Cricetulus griseus: one gene and its partners. The protein of the gene in region 3 interacts with the protein of the main gene of each other region in a pairwise test. Links are inferred from orthologs where the notes say so. Each region holds a gene or a part of one and is shown on either strand. Other genes may lie near its edges. The genes, in order: Qki, Trir, Snrpa and leukocyte receptor cluster member 8 homolog.

What was found.
Region 1: the proteins of Snrpa (region 3) and Qki interact in binary tests that used the Homo sapiens proteins (3 or more experiments, as listed by UniProt). The link is inferred for Cricetulus griseus from reciprocal best matches to the Homo sapiens genes SNRPA and QKI.
Region 2: the proteins of Snrpa (region 3) and Trir interact in binary tests that used the Homo sapiens proteins (3 or more experiments, as listed by UniProt). The link is inferred for Cricetulus griseus from reciprocal best matches to the Homo sapiens genes SNRPA and TRIR.
Region 4: the proteins of Snrpa (region 3) and leukocyte receptor cluster member 8 homolog interact in binary tests that used the Homo sapiens proteins (3 or more experiments, as listed by UniProt). The two-hybrid records come from large-scale screens. The link is inferred for Cricetulus griseus from reciprocal best matches to the Homo sapiens genes SNRPA and LENG8.

Annotation. Positions count from the first base shown.
Region 1 is NC_048595.1:290,489,475-290,493,533, forward strand, and holds the start of Qki (protein quaking), read left to right. Parts: upstream 1-1,219; 5' UTR 1,220-1,263; coding exon 1,264-1,405; intron 1,406-4,059. UniProt on the Homo sapiens protein: RNA reader protein, which recognizes and binds specific RNAs, thereby regulating RNA metabolic processes, such as pre-mRNA splicing, circular RNA (circRNA) formation, mRNA export, mRNA stability and/or translation.
Region 2 is NC_048596.1:159,339,277-159,343,449, reverse strand, and holds the start of Trir (telomerase RNA component interacting RNase), read left to right. Parts: upstream 1-1,350; 5' UTR 1,351-1,422; coding exon 1,423-1,758; intron 1,759-4,173. UniProt on the Homo sapiens protein: Exoribonuclease that is part of the telomerase RNA 3' end processing complex and which has the ability to cleave all four unpaired RNA nucleotides from the 5' end or 3' end with higher efficiency for purine bases.
Region 3 is NC_048602.1:8,724,500-8,728,795, forward strand, and holds the start of Snrpa (U1 small nuclear ribonucleoprotein A), read left to right. Parts: upstream 1-1,493; 5' UTR 1,494-1,634; intron 1,635-2,096; 5' UTR 2,097-2,118; coding exon 2,119-2,191; intron 2,192-3,963; coding exon 3,964-4,136; intron 4,137-4,296. Other genes in the region: CUNH19orf54 (UPF0692 protein C19orf54 homolog), read right to left, coding at 247-539. UniProt on the Homo sapiens protein: Component of the spliceosomal U1 snRNP, which is essential for recognition of the pre-mRNA 5' splice-site and the subsequent assembly of the spliceosome. U1 snRNP is the first snRNP to interact with pre-mRNA.
Region 4 is NC_048602.1:22,406,963-22,411,051, forward strand, and holds the start of leukocyte receptor cluster member 8 homolog, read left to right. Parts: upstream 1-1,232; 5' UTR 1,233-1,374; intron 1,375-3,744; 5' UTR 3,745-3,799; coding exon 3,800-3,837; intron 3,838-4,089.

The DNA of each region.
Region 1 (4,059 bases), on a different chromosome or scaffold from region 3:
CGCCCCGCCGGGTGGGCGCCGCGCCAGAACGGTTCCGGCCCGCTTCTCGGTCCAGAGGCCACCGCCGCTGCCCCCCCTCGCCCCCCACGCAGGCGCGCTCTCCGGCCGATAGGGCGGGGCGACCCTCGGAAGGGGCGTGGCCACAGCCCTCGACGCGCGCACGCGCCCTCGGCCTCACGGCTACGTGTCGGGCCACGTGATGCCCACCCGAGAGTGCCCCCAGTGAAGCAACAGGACGTTAAAAAAAAAAAAAATTCTCCTTTTTTTCTTTTCCTGAGGGGTGGCGAGGAAGGTGGACGAAGAGGTTTTAAAAAAAAAAAGAGAGAGAAAAAAATCCCCTCAAACTATAGTAACGCGCCGAGAGGCGAGGCCAGGGCGGCGGCGAGCGCAGCGCCCGCGCATAGTCCCGCCGGAATTCCTCTCAGCCGACGCGCCCGACCGCGCCCGCCGCCTCAGCAACAGCGCGCCGACGAGCCAGCGCCGCCGCCCGCGTCCCCTCAGCCGCGACCCCGGCCCCGCGCAGGCCGCCGCAGCCGGCGCGCGTCCCCCTCAGCCGCGGCCCGGCCCTCGGCCACCAGCCGGCCGTCCGTCCGTCCCGCCCGAGCGGCCAGGGGCAGGGGCGCCGGCGGCGGCGGGGGGCGGGAGCGCGCCTAGCCCCGTAACGGCCGCCCTGCGCGCCCGGCCCGCCGCCCGCCCCCGGCCCTGCCCGCGCCCCTCCCCCCGCCGCCGCCGGCAGCGCCGCCTGAACTGAGGCGAACTCCGCCGCCAAGTGAGTGAGGAGGAGGAGAGCCGCGGAGGAAGAGGAGGAGCGGCAGTCGGAGCGGCGGCGGCGGCGGCGGCAACGCGGGGGCGCCGCGGCGGACAGCACCGCAGACTCGCGAGCTTCGGCGCAGGCGGCGCGACCGGCCGACGAGCGGCCCCTCGACTCCTCGCGGCGCAGCGGCCCCGCGCCGCGCTCGGCCCCGAGACCCGCCTCCGCCGCCGGCCTCGCGAGGGGAGCCGCGCCGGGCGGCCGAGGAGCGGCGGCCGCGGCGCGTCGGGCCGGGCGAAAGTGCCTGCGGGGGGGCGGGCGGGCGCGCGGAGCCGGCCGCCCCGGGGCTCGGCGCGGGAGCCGGAGCGGAGTCGGCGCGGAGCGGGACGCCGCGTCCGAGCGGCCGGCGGCCGGAGCTCGCCCCGCCCCTCCCTCCTCTCCTCCTCCTCTCTCCTCCTCCGGCGGCGCGCGGCGGCGGCGGCGCGGGCGGAGTGAGCTGCGGAGCCTGGAATATGGTCGGGGAAATGGAAACGAAGGAGAAGCCGAAGCCCACCCCAGATTACTTGATGCAGCTGATGAACGACAAGAAGCTCATGAGCAGCCTGCCCAACTTCTGCGGGATCTTCAACCACCTCGAGCGGCTGCTGGACGAAGGTGAGCCTCTCGACCCCCGCGGGCGAGCGGGCGGGCGCGGCGGCCCGGGATGGCGGGGCGGCGGGAAGGTCAGGCGGGCGGGCGCACAAAGGCGGCGCGGGCGGCTCGCGGCGGGTCGGGGCCAGGGCCGGGGCAGGCCCGAGGGCGGACCCGGAGCTCGCGGGCGGCAGGGCGGCGGGGCGGCGGGGCTGCGGCCAGCTCCCGACGGCGCGGCAGATAGACACCCCGCCATCCCGACCGATCTGGCCGGGCCACGCGAGCTCTGCCTCGCCTCGCCCGCGGGGCCCCGGCTGGGGGTGCCCGTCTCAGTGGAGTTGTGTGGCCCGCGGTACAGGAGTGGACTCTTCGGGTGTCCACAGATTACGTAGGGTACCGAAAAGTAGTGCTTATGTGGCCGAAGGCGAGCACGAGCTGACACAGAGCACAGCACTTTTTTTGTCCTTTGTTTAGGGAAGCGAGAACTGTTTGGGAGTTTAACTTCACTTTTTTTTTTTTTTTTTGGGTGGCGGGGGGAGGAGTATGAAATACCGCGATGACAGACCTGAACGGAATCCGAGTTCGGAAGAACTCACTGGGGCGGAGGGTTAGCTCCAGGCGTAGCCGCCCGCGTCCCTGGGGCGGGGAGCTGGAAGTTTGAAAGGACGGGAATAAAATAGAGCGCAAGTTTGCAGAAGCCGAGTTGGGAGCGCTGCAGGGAGCGAAGAGTGGCTAGAAGATGCATGCTGGTCAGCTCTGGCAGTCCTCTAAGAACTTCTCTCAGCAGCGACCTGGAGTGTTAGTTCCCAGGAGCCGTGGGTTTCCGCGGATTCCCGGGGCGGCCTGTGGGGCAGGAGGACCAACAAGTCCGCTTTGAAAACCGTGTAGCGGGGAGTTTCCCTTTTGTTTTTAAAAGTCTCCAGGCGGGGGGCTGTCTGAAGGAAGCGGAAAACTGTGCTGATGTGCGGATGAACAGTGGATTTTAGCATCTTGAGAAGAATCTCGAAATATTTTCAAATACAGCTAGAGAAATCAAAATTTATGCTCAAGGAGCAGGCATATCAGGGAAGAACAAAAGACTTTGAATACCTCCGAGCTAAGAGCGAGCTTCTTTTGGGTGGGGAGCCATAGGCAGGACTTGAGGCAGAAAGCGCTCAGTTATGACGCCTGAACATGCATACAACAGTAACAAGTCGAAAGGGACATTTCCTACTTTTGGGTCCGCGTGTCTGTTAGTCTCAGACGCCTCGGAGGAAAGTTGTGCTGCCCCTTTAAGGGGTTTTGCCTATTTGTGTTGGCATTTGAAAGATTGTGGAGGCAGAAAACTTTCTGGAATGTCAAAAAAAAAAAAAAAAAAAAAAAAAAAAAAGGAGGGTGTGTGTGTGCTGGAACTCTTCAATTGAGTATTTCCAAATGTGAGCGCTAAGGGGCGCCAGCTATTTTTTTTTAACCTTGGAATGTTTGGAACAAAATGTCTAGCATGCTTAAAAATCTGACCTATATTAAGTTCAGTAGAAATTTAAATTTTAGGTGACTTCACCTGTCATTATTTATCCACAAATGTGATTTCAGAGACAACACCTAATTTACTGTTATTTTTTCACTTGGTGTGTTGTTTTCATGGTATTACTGTGAAATTTATGATGAAAATTATAGTTTTTTAAAAGTACAGTGTATGGGGAATCTCTTACACGCCTAGACAGCATTTAAAATGGATTAATATGCATTCTTAAAGTTCTCCGTATACTCAAGTGACATATTGAGATCATAAAAAGTTTGGAAATACTATAGGAGTTTCCTCGATTAGTTGTAAAAGGCTGCTCATGTAGTCTTTCAGACTGATCAGATATAACCACCTTAGTTTGAGGTTGGCATAAGTCAGCTGGAGGAATTTCAATTATGTCATTATTTCTGCACAGGCTTGTTTATTACTCTCTAGTTAGAAATAGTAACCCTTTGTGTTCCAAATGTAAAAGAAAGCTAGTTTAGGATTACAGTATTCAAAATAATATTTGTTTCTTTCCTTTTCCTGTTTTCTCCATCTTTCACCTCAGTCTGCCTTCTGTACTCAGGAGTCTGCATTAGGCCAGTATACAGAGAACTTCCATGCTTGTAGGTAGTGTGTTTACAATAGACCTCAGAATGAATAGGAAGTGTGATTGTTTTAATCATATCAGAGCAAATGTTGCAGGACAGGGGCTAGTCCTTAATGTGTTATAAGCCTTTTCCTGTACTTGCTAGTCTTATTATAAATTTAATTTGACTTGAAAATACTGGTTTCTTAAGTGCAAGATCATAATTTTCTTGCTAGATGACTTAATTGTGAAAATTGGCAACTTGTGCTTTACCCCCTTGTGGCCTCTCATTGTCCAAAAACAAATTAATCATGACTTGTGTTTGTGGTTAGGGATTACACTCTCCTTTGTCTGTAATGCTTGGCAGAAAGATTACTTTTAAATTCAGATAAAACTAAGTTTCACTTTAGGGATTAAATTGTTCAATGGCATTGAGATATTCTATTCTCTGATAGTTAGAAATTTTGAATGGGACTGTCTAGCAATTTTATTTTTAAAATACTTTCAAGCAGTGAGCTTTTAATATAGTTCCTGTTTGAGAATTTTCAGTTGACTAACAACTTTGGGAATGAAGTGTTCTTTTTTTTTTTCTTCTACTTGTTA
Region 2 (4,173 bases), on a different chromosome or scaffold from region 3:
TGATCAAGCGGAACGCACCACGTCCTAAGCAACTACAGGGGAAATGAGTCTGCCACATCCCTGTGCAGGCTGGAAGTCTGACTTATTTTCCTCCTGAGTTGACACTTGGGGACAATGGACGCTGTATTTTCCCGTTTTATGCGTCGAAGGTTCCCCTTGGTGAACTTTCGCCTGCAGTTTTCTAAGAATTCCCCTGCCTTGTGAGCGTAGTGGTGTGACCCACGGTAGTGCCCTTCACTGATTGGGTCCTCCGTCTTGCGGCACTCTTTCCATTGGCTGCATCCCGTCTTACTTCCGCTAGCCACGCTCAAGTCCCTGTGGGCGTCAACCTCTGTCTCCTTAGCAACCAGCCAAACATCCTGTCTAAGCTCTTTGAACGAAGTTACAGCAGAGGTGTCTCTTGCCTCGATTCTATAGGCTCCGTTTCCTGATTATCTTTTCCCTCTTTCTTTCTGCTTTGGACCTCAACGTCTCTTCTTGTCCGCCAGTTACTCTGTTGGCTGTGAGCCACCTGACTCCGGCCGCAAAACGATCACGAACGAAATGGTTAGTAGGGTCGCTAAAAGGCAAAGAGACTCCATTTGTGGCAGAGCACGCAGACCTTTGTCCCGTGTGCCCGGAATACCCATGCTGGGCAGGAGTGCTATTTGTCACAGTCGAGAGAACTTTAACTTCCGAAACTCTAGCTGCGCTTGGCGCTCTGCTCACCCCCATCCCCGTGCACACGTGTGTGCTCCAAGTCTAGCCAGTGCTGTCTGAACTGAGTCCCTGTCCTCGGGGAAGAGTACGAGGAGGGTTCTTAGTCCCTTGGTGCAGAACCCAGCTCAGAACATTAAGTCTTAAGAGAAGGATCAGGCTGGAAATATCTCCGGCTTCATTTGAGTGCTCAACTTGTAAAATACTACGACTCTCAGACAGGGCGTCTAGCTGCACGCAGCCAGCAGTATCCTTACTTAAAGGTAAGAGATTAAATGCCGAGGCAGATGCCCGGTCTAGAGAAGCTCCCGTTTCTAATAGGAGGTGCCGAGTCAGACAGATATGCTTTCTAGACCTAGTTAGGGGCCACCCAAGTTCCCAAGTGTACGCAAACAACATTCTTTCAATTACAGAGTTCTGGTGGCCGACTATGATTGTGCTCTCAGCCTTTAGAGGGATCGCGGGCCCCAGACGATGGTTCCATTCTGTCTGGCAGGATTAGGGAAATCCGAGGAACAGAAGGCAAGGAACCCGGCTTCTAGGCTCCACCCACTGGTCGCCAGGTCAGAGCACCTTTGCCCCGCCCAAGTCCCGCCCACTCCGCGTTGGCTTCTGGGATCAGACCTCTCTTCCCAGCATGCAGTGCTCCAGACGAAGCCAGTCCCGCGCCAAGCGCGCGGTCTGAGATCCTTTCCCGAAGTCCCTTGCGCGGCACCTGGCGACAAAATGGCTGCCCGAGGGAGACGGGCGGAGCCTCCGAGTCGGGAGGTGCCCGGCCCGGCGGGCGGCGGCAGGAGCCGATGGGCTGAGTCGGGGCCGGGAACGTCACCCGAGAGCGGGGACGACGAGGTGTCGGGCTCAAGTCCGGTGTCCGGTGGTGTGAACTTGTTCGCCAACGACGGCAGCTTCCTGGAGCTGTTCAAGCGGAAGATGGAGGAGGAGCAGCGGCAGCGGCAGGAGGAGCCACCCCCGGGCCCGCAGCGACCCGACCCATCGGCCTCCGCCGCGGCGGGCCCTGGGAATCCGAAGAGGAAGGGCGGCCCAGGCCCCACGCTCAGCTTCGTAAGGAGCCGCGGGGGTGGGGGCGGGCGCCGGGGCCCGTGTTGGCAGGGGGAGTCGGACCCGGGAAGGGGCGTCATGGTCCAAGGCAGTTCTCCGCCGGGATGCCCCGACGGTCCCGGTCGTTTGCTGAGAACGTTGTACCTGGATTCCGGACGAGAGGTGTTTCTGGGAGGTCGTGGGAACCCCCAGATCTTACTCGTGGAACCTGGGAACCGGGAATTGCATTGGAAGCAGCACTCTGGGGATAGGAGACCCTAGATGCTAGGATTCCTGTTTGATTTGTACCCAGACTTTGATTAGTGGGTACCCAAACACAATCTGGGGAAAAGGAAGGGACAAATTCAAATTTTGAGTCTGCTGCATTCGTTAGACTCAGACCACGGACCGTAGCCGGGCGTGGTGGCACACGCCTTGCAATACCAGCACTCCGGATTCAAGAAGATTGAGGATTGGAAAGTGAGATCCTGTCCGAATTAAACAAAACCAACCAACAAGAAAAAGCAAATCACTGACTTTGTGGCCTTAGGAAGATCATTCGATTCCTTTCTATATCATTTAACTATTTTCCGTTAATTGAGCACCTTGTGCTGGGTATTCAGTGGTGAATTTGACAGAAAAGATCGCTGTTTGTTTGGAGCCTGGGTTGCCTACCCTGATTTTCTGTAGTTCTAACAATTGCCGTAATTTCACCTTTTAATGTGAGTATTCCATAGAAAAGTCAGTACAGACTCTACAGAAAGAACTAGACCAGTGGTTCTCTATTGGGGACAAGTCTCCTCACCCTTGTGTATTTATTTGGTAAAGTCTGTAGACATTTTGGTTGTTAAAACTCTGAGAGGAGATGCTAGTGACATCTATGGGTAGGTACAAGGATGCTGTTCAATATCCTACAGTGCATGGGATAACAAAGAATGATCTAGCTGAAAATGTCTAGAGTACCAGGTTGAGGAGCTCTGAGTTAAATAAATTGGATATATAATTTTTGTTAGTTGTGAGCTTGCTTTGTCTCCGGTGTTGAGTTAGAGGTCCTATAGTGGGGAGGGAGAAATGTTGGTTTGAGGATGACATTGAGGGTCAAGTCCTGGATCCAGCTCTGTGGTTTGGGGCAAGGCTTAAGTTTCTTTAGCTCTTAAAAGGGTATGTGAGCCAGACAAGGCAATGCATATGTGTAATCAATCCTAGCACTGTGGAGGATGAGACAGGAGGATTGCAGAGTTTGAGTTCAGCCAAGGTTACATAGCAATAACTTGTTTCTAAAAACAACGAAAAGGCTATGTTTGAGTGGTTGGGTACAGTAGTGTGTTTCTATAATCTCGGCTACTCTGAGACCAGAGGATCTTAAGAACAGAATGAATTCAGAGCCAGCCTGAGCAATTTAGTGAGACCTGTCTTAAAATAAAATCAAGAGGTCTGGGAATTTAGCTCCATAGTAGATAGCTTCAAGTGCTTGAGACCCTAGATTGCATCTGCAGTGCTACACGAAAAGTTGTGATTGGGGAGGAGATAGTCCCAGCACTAACTGATGTCTAGTTGAAGGGTGAGTACAGGATGATGTCTTGGAGGCCCTCAGTTAAGGGGAGAAGATGGTTTACCAAGGTTCCCATCTGTTCTTAGAGGAAGTAGAAAGTGATAGGACTTAGGTTGATGTGATGTTTAAGAGTAGAGGATGAAATCTTTTCCAGGAATGGGAGCAGCAGTAGTGTTACTGTTATTTCTATTTGTTCAGGAGTAGCCATTATAGTTACACTCCTCAAAAAGCCAGGCCAGCTAGGTGGTGGTGGTGGTGGTGGTGGTGGTGGTGGTGGTGGTGGTGGTGGTGGTGGTGGTGGTGGTTCTGCTGCTGATGCTGCTGCTGATGCTGCCGCACGCCTTTAATCCCAGCATTGGAGGCAGAGGCAGGCAGATCTCTGAGTTCAAGGCCAGCCTGGTCTACAGAATGAGTTCCAGAACAACCAGGACTGTTTTATAGAGAAACCTTATCTTCAAAAAACAATAACAACAAAAAAGCAAGGCGGGAGATTTAGGGGTGTGGTTCAGGATGCTCCCACTGGCTTTGCACCACTGTATCCCTGGTTTTGCTCCCTTGTTTGCAGTCTGCCCTGTCCCTCCCAGACACTTGTCTCTATCTCTAAAAGTTACTATCTTTCAAATAATGTAACTGAATGTGAGAGGAGATACCATGGACACAGCACTCTGTGTGTGATATATAAGGCTGGGTATATAGTGAAGCTCAATAAAGGTATTGCCACCCATGTGATCCCTGCCAGGACAGGGTCAGGCCTGGGCAGAAAGAGTGAGGGCGTAGCCAGTCCCCAGTAAGGTGAGCACTCCTCTGGCCCCCTGGGAGGGTAGCCTGGGGCCCAGGACTGCCTGGGCATGGCAGCCCAGGGCAGGTGCTGAGTCGAGTGTGCTCCT
Region 3 (4,296 bases):
CCCTGGCTACTCTGGGAATCGCTGTCTGGAAGGGCAGAGGCACTATCACTGGCTTAGAACCAAGAATGAGCAGGAGCTGCTCTCTCTATTGCTAGAGGCCAAGCAGGGAAGAGCTAGGTAGGAGGCTTAAGGCACCTGGCTGCTTGAGATCAAGGAAATGGGAACCCTGGGAGATGGGGTAGGCGGGGTGATTTGGAGACAGGTGGTTGGATGAGTCCTGGGGTGCTGGGGGTTTGCAAACCCTACCGGTCCTTGTGCAGCATCAGGAGCCTCTTTACGTCTTCTCTGCCTTTGGGGACTGGGCCAGCCTTCTCCAAGGCCTCCTTCAGGAGCCGGCTCTTCTCCAGGCCGTAGACATGAGGGGAAACAACCTCCACAGCCAAGGGTGGGGGTGGGGGTGGAGGCGGCGGCGGCGGCGGGACAGAAGGGGATGGCGAAGCTAAGTCCAGGGTACTTGGGGGTAAAGGAGGTGGAATGCTGGCGTCTTGGGGTTCGGGGATTACTGGGGGGACTGTGGGCTTTAAGGGGAAAGACGTCATGTCGGGTCTTCAGGAAGAGCTGATGTGAGGGTGAGAAGGGGGATCCTCTCAAATCTCTCAAGGATGGAGACTTCAGTTTTTAGAGCAACTGGATGTGGTATTCACATGTGGCCCGCACATAGAAACCTGTATTAAAAATTACAAAGAGTTTAAAAAAAAAATTAGAGTTGAATTGCAGAATACGGTGCCTGACCAGTTGGTCTGGGAGAACCTGGGTGGGTATTTCAAACCGTGGGAACAGAAACTGGGCTGAATCAAATGACGAAGAAGAAGGCTCCCCCAAGGTGCGGGCTGTGCCATGGGGATGGAGCGACATTGGGAGGGACTAGAGCTAGCTAGTTTTCTTCATTTCCGTAATCAGGGGGCTCAGATCGGGGGGGGGGGGAGTAAGGCGTGGGGTAACCGGCCTCATCTCACATCTCTGTAATCAGGGGGCTGAGATCGGGGGTAAGGCGTGGGGTAACCCGCCTCATCTCACATCTCAGGGCGCTCAGATCGGGGGTAAGGCGTGGGGTAACCCGCCTCATCTCACATCTCCGGCTCGAGTCTGCAACCTTAGGGTCGATCTTAGGAGCTTAGAGGTCATGAGGTTAAAAGGGCACGCGGCTGGGAAAGCAGCCTAGCGGTGGGCAGCGGTCAGAGTTGACAGCAGGCACAGCGGTCAAGGGTCGCCTAAGGAGCGGGAACTTAGGAACTTGTACACGCTCCCCGCGGAGGGAAACGAGCGGCCTTGACCCGGCCAGGCTCTCCCGACGCGGCCCGGCGGCCACGTGACCCCCCCCCCCCCCGGTACTGGCGGAAGGGGAAGAGGCGTGGCTTCGGAGAGGGCAGCCTGCGCTGGCGCGCTAGCGAGGTCCCGATTGGCCCAGAGCTCGTCGCCTCCTTTGATTGGTCTGCTCACCTGGGGAGGGGGCGGGGACTAGTGCTGAGGCGGGAAGCCGCGTGTCCCTTTCGCGGGCGGGCGCTGAGGCCGGGGAAGAGGCTCTCACTCGGGGCGGTCGCCGCCTGCCGAGTTCGCGCGCCGTCAGCGTCTCGCGGCCGGGGACGGGAAGCTGTGTGTCCGAGCGGAGTGGCGTGGCAGGCGCGGCGGTCCAGGTGGTGAATTCCCGCGGTGGAGACGCCCGCGGGCGCTGGGGAGGCGGGCGGAGCACTTGGCGTCGGGCCTTCGGCCGCGTCGCTTCCGGAGGCCCCTCTTGGAGAGACGAAGGTGTCCCAAATCGGTCCCTGCTGTCTTAACTGGCTCCCACATCCGGGTTCCTTTTTTTTTTTTTTTTTTCCTCCTTGGACGCCGTTCGAGCGCGTGGACCAATGGGGATCGCCGCTGGGTACAGGCTCGCAGAGCATTCTGGGATTCGTAGTCCTCCCCCCCCCCAGCACGCGGGCTGGAGAAGCGGAGTCCTACGCGGGCTTTGTTGCCAAGCTGTGCCATTCTTCCCCAATTCCGGTCTCACCCAACTTCCTCCTGGAAGGATCCCTGAGCAGAGCCCGTCAGCCCCCTGAACAGAGAGTTTTGGAAAGCGTTAGAGAGCTGAAGTCGCCTCTTTTTCTCCCTTTAAGCCGTTTCTGAGCATCTGACACCATGGCAGTTCCTGAGACCCGTCCCAACCACACTATTTATATCAACAACCTCAATGAGAAGATCAAGAAGGATGGTAAGTCCTCCGGGATAGCCCGGAACTCTAGGTGATCTCGCATGAGCTGACCCCTTCCACCTCTAGCGCCCACTTTCCTTTCTCAGCCTTGCCATTGAGTCCTTTAAGAGTTAACTTTGGCCTTTTGTACCTACTGAGCCCTTGGTTCTCAATACACCCTTAACCACTTTACACTCTGCTCTTTAACCTGCACACTGTCGATAATCTTCAAGGTTTTAGCTCACCGGCCCTTCCTTTCTGGGAAGCCCTTTGGGATCTTTCTCTCCCTCAAGCCCAGCGCAGTCTGCTATCATGAGACTGTCTCTTGGCCACTGGCCTCTGGGCGTTGGTCTTGGTGATGAGTTACGATGCAAAGAACGTATAGAAGTGACGGGTAATGAATGCTATGTAACAATGTTCTGTAGTCTTGGAGATATTTAATTCTCAACAAGCCTCTCAAGATTAAGAAATTGGAATTTGGGTGGTAGTACTTGCCCGTGATCAAATACCAAGAAAAAAATGGTTGGGACACAAGTGTGCGGTTCTGTTAAGCAAATTCTTGAACTGCTTGAATGGCAGATGGCTGTAATTCTGTTACTTAGGGAAAGGGACTCCCAGAGTAACTCCCAGATGGCTGCATGATCACAATGAGTGAAAAAGATACCAAAGACAGTTTCTTTGGGTGTGGTGGTGTAGGCCTGTAATCCCAGTACTCAGGAGACTGAGACAGGAGAATCTTGACTTCAGACCAGCCCAGGGTACATAGCAAGACCCTGACTCCAAAAGGTCTGAGGAATACAAGTAGTCTTGCCTAGCATGGGTAAGGCTCTGGGTTCTGAACCTCAGCAACTAAGAAACCTACTTGGCCTGGTGAGATGGCTCAGTGGTTAAGAGTACTGCCTGCTCTTCCAGAAGACCTGAGTTTGATTCCTAGCACTCAAGGGAGGTTTATAATGTGTAACTCCAGTTCCAGGGCATATGACATCCTCTTCTAGCATCTGCAGGCAAAATAACCCACGCACATAAAATAAAAATATTTTGGGCTGGCTCACGCCTTTAATCCCACCACTTGGGAGGCAGAGGCAGGCAGATCTCTGAGTTTGAGGTTGGCCTGGTCTACAGAGTTAGTTCCGGATGGGGGGGGGCGTGGAGGGTGTCAGGGGAGGAGGGGGGGGGGGAGAAAGGGACCTGGGATTGACATGTAATTTTCTTCCTAATTAAAATAAAAAAAAAAACCAAAAACCTTGTCTCAAAACAACTATATATTTAAAGGTTGTACAATTTTTATTTGTTTATTGTGTATACAACATTCTGCTTCTGTGTATGTCTGCACACCAGAAGAGGGCACCAGATCTCATAACGGATGGTTGTGAGCCACCATGTGGTTGCTGGGAATTGAACTCAGGACCTCTGGAAGAGCGGTCGGTGCTCTTAACCTCTGAGCCATCTCTCCAGTCCCAAGGTTGTACAATTTTAAACAAAACCCCACACCAAATAATTCCGTTCTTGCCTGGAAGTAAGGTCCTGGAGTAGAATGTTTACTTTTCTACAAAGGCTGAATTCTAGCACACATACAAATAGTAAACAGAAGCAAGTATTTTTATGTATTTATTGTGTGTGTGTGTGTGTGTGTGTATGAATGTGGGTTGTAGTGCTGTAGCATTCTGGGTAATTTGTCACTTGGCAGTGGCCCCTTGTTTGAACTGTTCATCATCCAAGGATAGTTAGTGCAGGTCCCAGGACACAGTGCCCAGGCCTTTTGTTACAGTGTGTCTTGTTTTCCCTGAATGCAGAGCTCAAGAAGTCCCTGTATGCCATCTTCTCCCAGTTTGGCCAGATCCTGGATATCCTGGTGTCTCGGAGCCTGAAGATGAGGGGCCAGGCCTTTGTCATCTTCAAGGAGGTCAGCAGCGCCACGAATGCCCTGCGTTCCATGCAGGGTTTCCCCTTCTACGACAAGCCCATGGTGAGCATCTTGACTATGGAGGCTGTAGGAAGCTGGGTGGGTGTGGCCTGTAGTGTTCCGTGAGGATGCTACTTTTCTTGCTTGGTCCTTTACTTTCAGTGTTCCTTAATCTGGGGCTGTGGGGACACAAAATGATCAAGACACTGAGCATGATGGCTCA
Region 4 (4,089 bases), about 14 Mb from region 3:
AAGTCTAAGTGAAATCTGCGGCTTAGTGCAGAGTATTAAAGCAATGTCAGTTTCTTACTTTTAACCAATAAACCGTGGTGAATCCGAGGTGGTAGCAATAGGGGAAACTGGGCACACACTACACCTAACTCCTGTATTATCTCTGCAACTTTTTTCCCCTGTAAACCCAAATTTATTCTAAAATAAAAGTTCATTATTAAAAAAAACACGAAAGAGACACACACAGAGAGAGAGAGAGAGAGAGAGAGAGAGAGAGAGAGAGAGAGAGAGAGATGGGAAGAAACCCTAGCGTGCTAATAGTAACAAAATGATACAAAGCTATTTGTGTTGCATAGTTGCCAAAAGTCGCCAGTACCAACTGGGAGCAGAAGCCGGGCTGTAAGGTACTGTTTCATTGACTGATTTTAACAGGGATCCCCTACTGGGACGGCACAATTCAATCATTGCTGTTGTAAACTGAGAGCTTTAAGGAAAGCCTATTGTGAGCTGGGCGTTGGTGGCGATGCTCGCCTTTAATCCCAGCACTGGGGAGGCAGAGGCAGAGGCAGGGGGATCTCTGTGAGTTCGAGATCAGCCTGGTCTACAGGGCGGGTTCCAGGATAGGCTCCAAAGCTACACAGAGAAACCGTATCTCAAAAACCAAAAAATAAAAAGACAAAAAAAAAAAAAAAAAAATCCTACTGTGAGCCGGCTCTGTAGGCTTCCTCTCCCTACACCTGCGCCCCAGCTACCTTTCCGGCGTCGCAGCCCCGAGGCTCCTCCGGCTCCTCAATGGATGGCTTGTTTCCCGCTTGCTTGGGCTCGCACTCACTGTTGCCCACGCCAGCCAGGTTTACTCACTCAGCAAAGCCTACCGGGTGGGGAAGACTCATCCCCAAGACAGACTCAAAGACTCATCCCACTCCTTTAAACACAGACAGACAGACAGACAAACAAACTAAGCCGTGGCGCTGCACAGCTCACGACTAAAGACTAGGCTCCAAACTAGACCGTCTTAACCGCGAGCGCCCGCGGCGCTTGTCCCCACGGGGCCGCCGTCCACGCCCCGCTTCCGGCTCGCCCACCAAACGCCCACACGCTTGCCCGGGCGTGGGCGGGGCGCGCCGGGCGGAGGGCGGGGTCCCCGAGCGAGCCGTGACACCCCATTGGCTGTGCGCGGCGCCGGGTGAGGGCGGGGGCGGGGGCGGGCGGGCGTCGGGACGGCCGGAGGGCGAGGCGTCGCGGGGCGGGGCGGGGCGTCGCGGTGACGCCATCGCGTCGCGGCCAGGACGTTGCAGCCCCAGCCGAGCCGGCCGGTGACCGAGCGCTTTTCGCGGTTGTCTTGTCGCCGCCTTGGTGGCCGCCGGTGACGAACCCCGGGAGCGAGCGGCCCTGGTGAGTGTGAGGAGCGGCGGGGACGGACGGGCGGGCGGGACGGGCGGGCGCAGGCAACTCCTCCCGGCGCCGCTCCCGGCGAGCCCGGGCCTGCTGGGGGAGCCTAACCGACGCCGCACCCAGCCTCCGCCAAGGGTGTGGCCGCCGCGCATGCGCGCTGTGCGGTGACGGGAGGGGGGGGAGGGGGTTGAGGCGGGGGGGGGTCGGGCGAGGCGCGCGCGCGCGTAACCGGCGGGCCCCTCCCCCTCGCCGCCCCCGCGCGTGCGCACACGCGCCCCTGGGCGGCCCCGCCCCTCCCCATTGACCGGCTGTTACGCGCGCCGCCCCGTTGCCCCGGGCAACCCGGAGCGAGGCCCTCGGGCGGCGTGGTGGTGCGCAGGCGCGGCCGGGCCGGGCTGGTGGATGCTGGCTGCTGCTGGCTGCTGGCTGCTGGCCGCGGACGGGCGGGGACCGGGGCTGGCAGCTTGGGGGGCGTCGCGTGGGTTCAGGGCGGCCTCTGTCTCCTCCACCGGGTGTCGGGGACCCCCGTGCCTGCGGGACAGCCAGGTGCTCCTGAGTCTTTGTAATAAGAGCCCGTGTCGTCCTTGCCCGTCAGACCCCTTGTCCCCCTCCCACCCCAGGCCTCACTCCTGATGCTCTCCCGCCTGCACCCCGAGTTCTGACACCCCCACCCCCGGCTCCACCCAACAGTCATTTGTTTATTTATTTATTTAGAAAGCTCTCTGAGGCCTGTCTATTTATTTATTTATTCAGAAAGCTCTCTGAGGCCTGTCTTATTTATTTATTTAGAAAGCTCTCTGAGGCCTGTCGTATTTATTTATTTATTTAGAAAGCTCTCTGAGGCCTGTCATATTTATTTATTTATTTAGAGAGCTCTCTGAGGCCTGATTGATTGATTGATTGATTTAGAAAGCTCTTTGAGGCCTGTCATATTTATTTATTTATTTTAGAAAGCTCGTTGAGGCCTTTCAGCGCTCCTTAGGCTTCCTGTAAGATACCGGGTTCTTCAATGGACTTATTCTCTGTAAATCCTATCGTTTGGGTCCCCGGAGCCCCCCTCCCCCCAGTCTTTTTCACGTTTCTTTCAGGACTGTCCACCGTCCAGTCCATGTACACACAACACACACACACACACACACACACACACACACACACACACACACACACACACACACACACACACACACACACACACACACGTACATAGTCCTACCCACAGGGGCATCCTGGAAGGAAGGAAGGAAGGAAGAAAGGAAGGGTTATCTGCAGACACCCTCCCCAAGGGGTTGCCTGTTGTTTCTCCCAGAGCAGCTCCTGTGCCTAGGAACAACCCATACTGGGTTTCCTCTCTGTCCTCTGGGGACTCGAATTGCTTGAGGTGCTGACAGCCAGTGCCTCCTTCCCACAGGGAGAGCCTTCCCCACCTCCCCTTTGTGAAGCTCCTCAGTGGGATCCAGAGAGGTCCCTTTCCTTGGGGGAACTTGGCTCTGTTCTCCAGTGTTCTCCTCGAAGTCTCCGCTCCATGCTCCTTAGAAACTTGAGTCTTGCCAGACTTCTGGATAGCTAATACTTTATTGACTGATTATTAAGACTTTACTTGCTGGGATGCCTTCCTCCCACCGCCACCAGCCCAGAATCCCTGTCAAAGCCCAGGTGGTGGTGAGGCAGAGGCAGGCGGATCCATGTCAGTACTCTGGGGATTCTCTTTAGATCCCTGCCCAGGACTGAGGTCTCCCCATCCATCCCCGGGCCTGGGTTCCCCTCATCTGCTCTTCGAATGACAGTTTCACCATCTCCTCTGTCTTTTATTCTGACACCCTGTGTTTTAGGGAATTCAGTGTCTTCATGCTCAAGGCTCTTTGTTCCACTCTTTTGGCTGTTTGTTTTAGAGACAGGATTTCAACACTTGACCAAGCAGGGCCCTCAACTCCCAAAGAGTGCTGGGATTGCAGACATAGGTTACGGTGCTTGAATTCTCTTTCACACTTTGCCAGTGCTTCCTTCTGTGAGATACTCTGTCTTTCCTGCCTGTTCTTTTTATGGGATCCAACATACTCGCTTCTTTGGGTCTTCCTAACTCATCTTTTTTCTTTTCTTTTTGTTTTTTGTTTTGTTTTGTTTTTTTTTTTTTTTTTTTTGTTTTGTTTTTTGTTTTTCAAGGCAGGGTTTCTGTGGCTTTGGAGACTATCCGGGAACTAGTTCTAGTAGACCAGGCTGGTCTCAAACTCACAGAGATCCCTCTGCCTCTGCCTCTGCCTCTGCCTCTGCCTCTGCCTCTGCCTCTGCCTCTGCCTCTGCCTCTGCCTCCCGAGTGCTGGGATTAAAGGCGTGTGCCACCAATGCTGGCCTAACTCATCTTTTCTCTTACAGACAGTGAAAAAGCAGTCTGGCTCCCGAGGTCTACCCCCTACACCCCAAGGTCCAGATGGCGGCCAACGTGGGTGATCAGCGCAGCGCAGATTGGTTAGTAGGGCTAAGGGAAACACAGCCCATTTTGGTAGGAAAGAGGAGCAAGACACAATGGGACCTGTACCTGCCTGGAAAAAGAAATCCATATTCTGGGGGCTAGGATGAGCTTTCCATGGCGGGTGGGGCATTCATACACACGGAGGTCAGAAGAGGCATTAGATCCCTTGGAGCTGAAGTTAGAGGTGTCTGTGAGCCACCTGACATGGGTGCTGGGAACTGAACTTGCAACATCTGCAAGACCAGCAA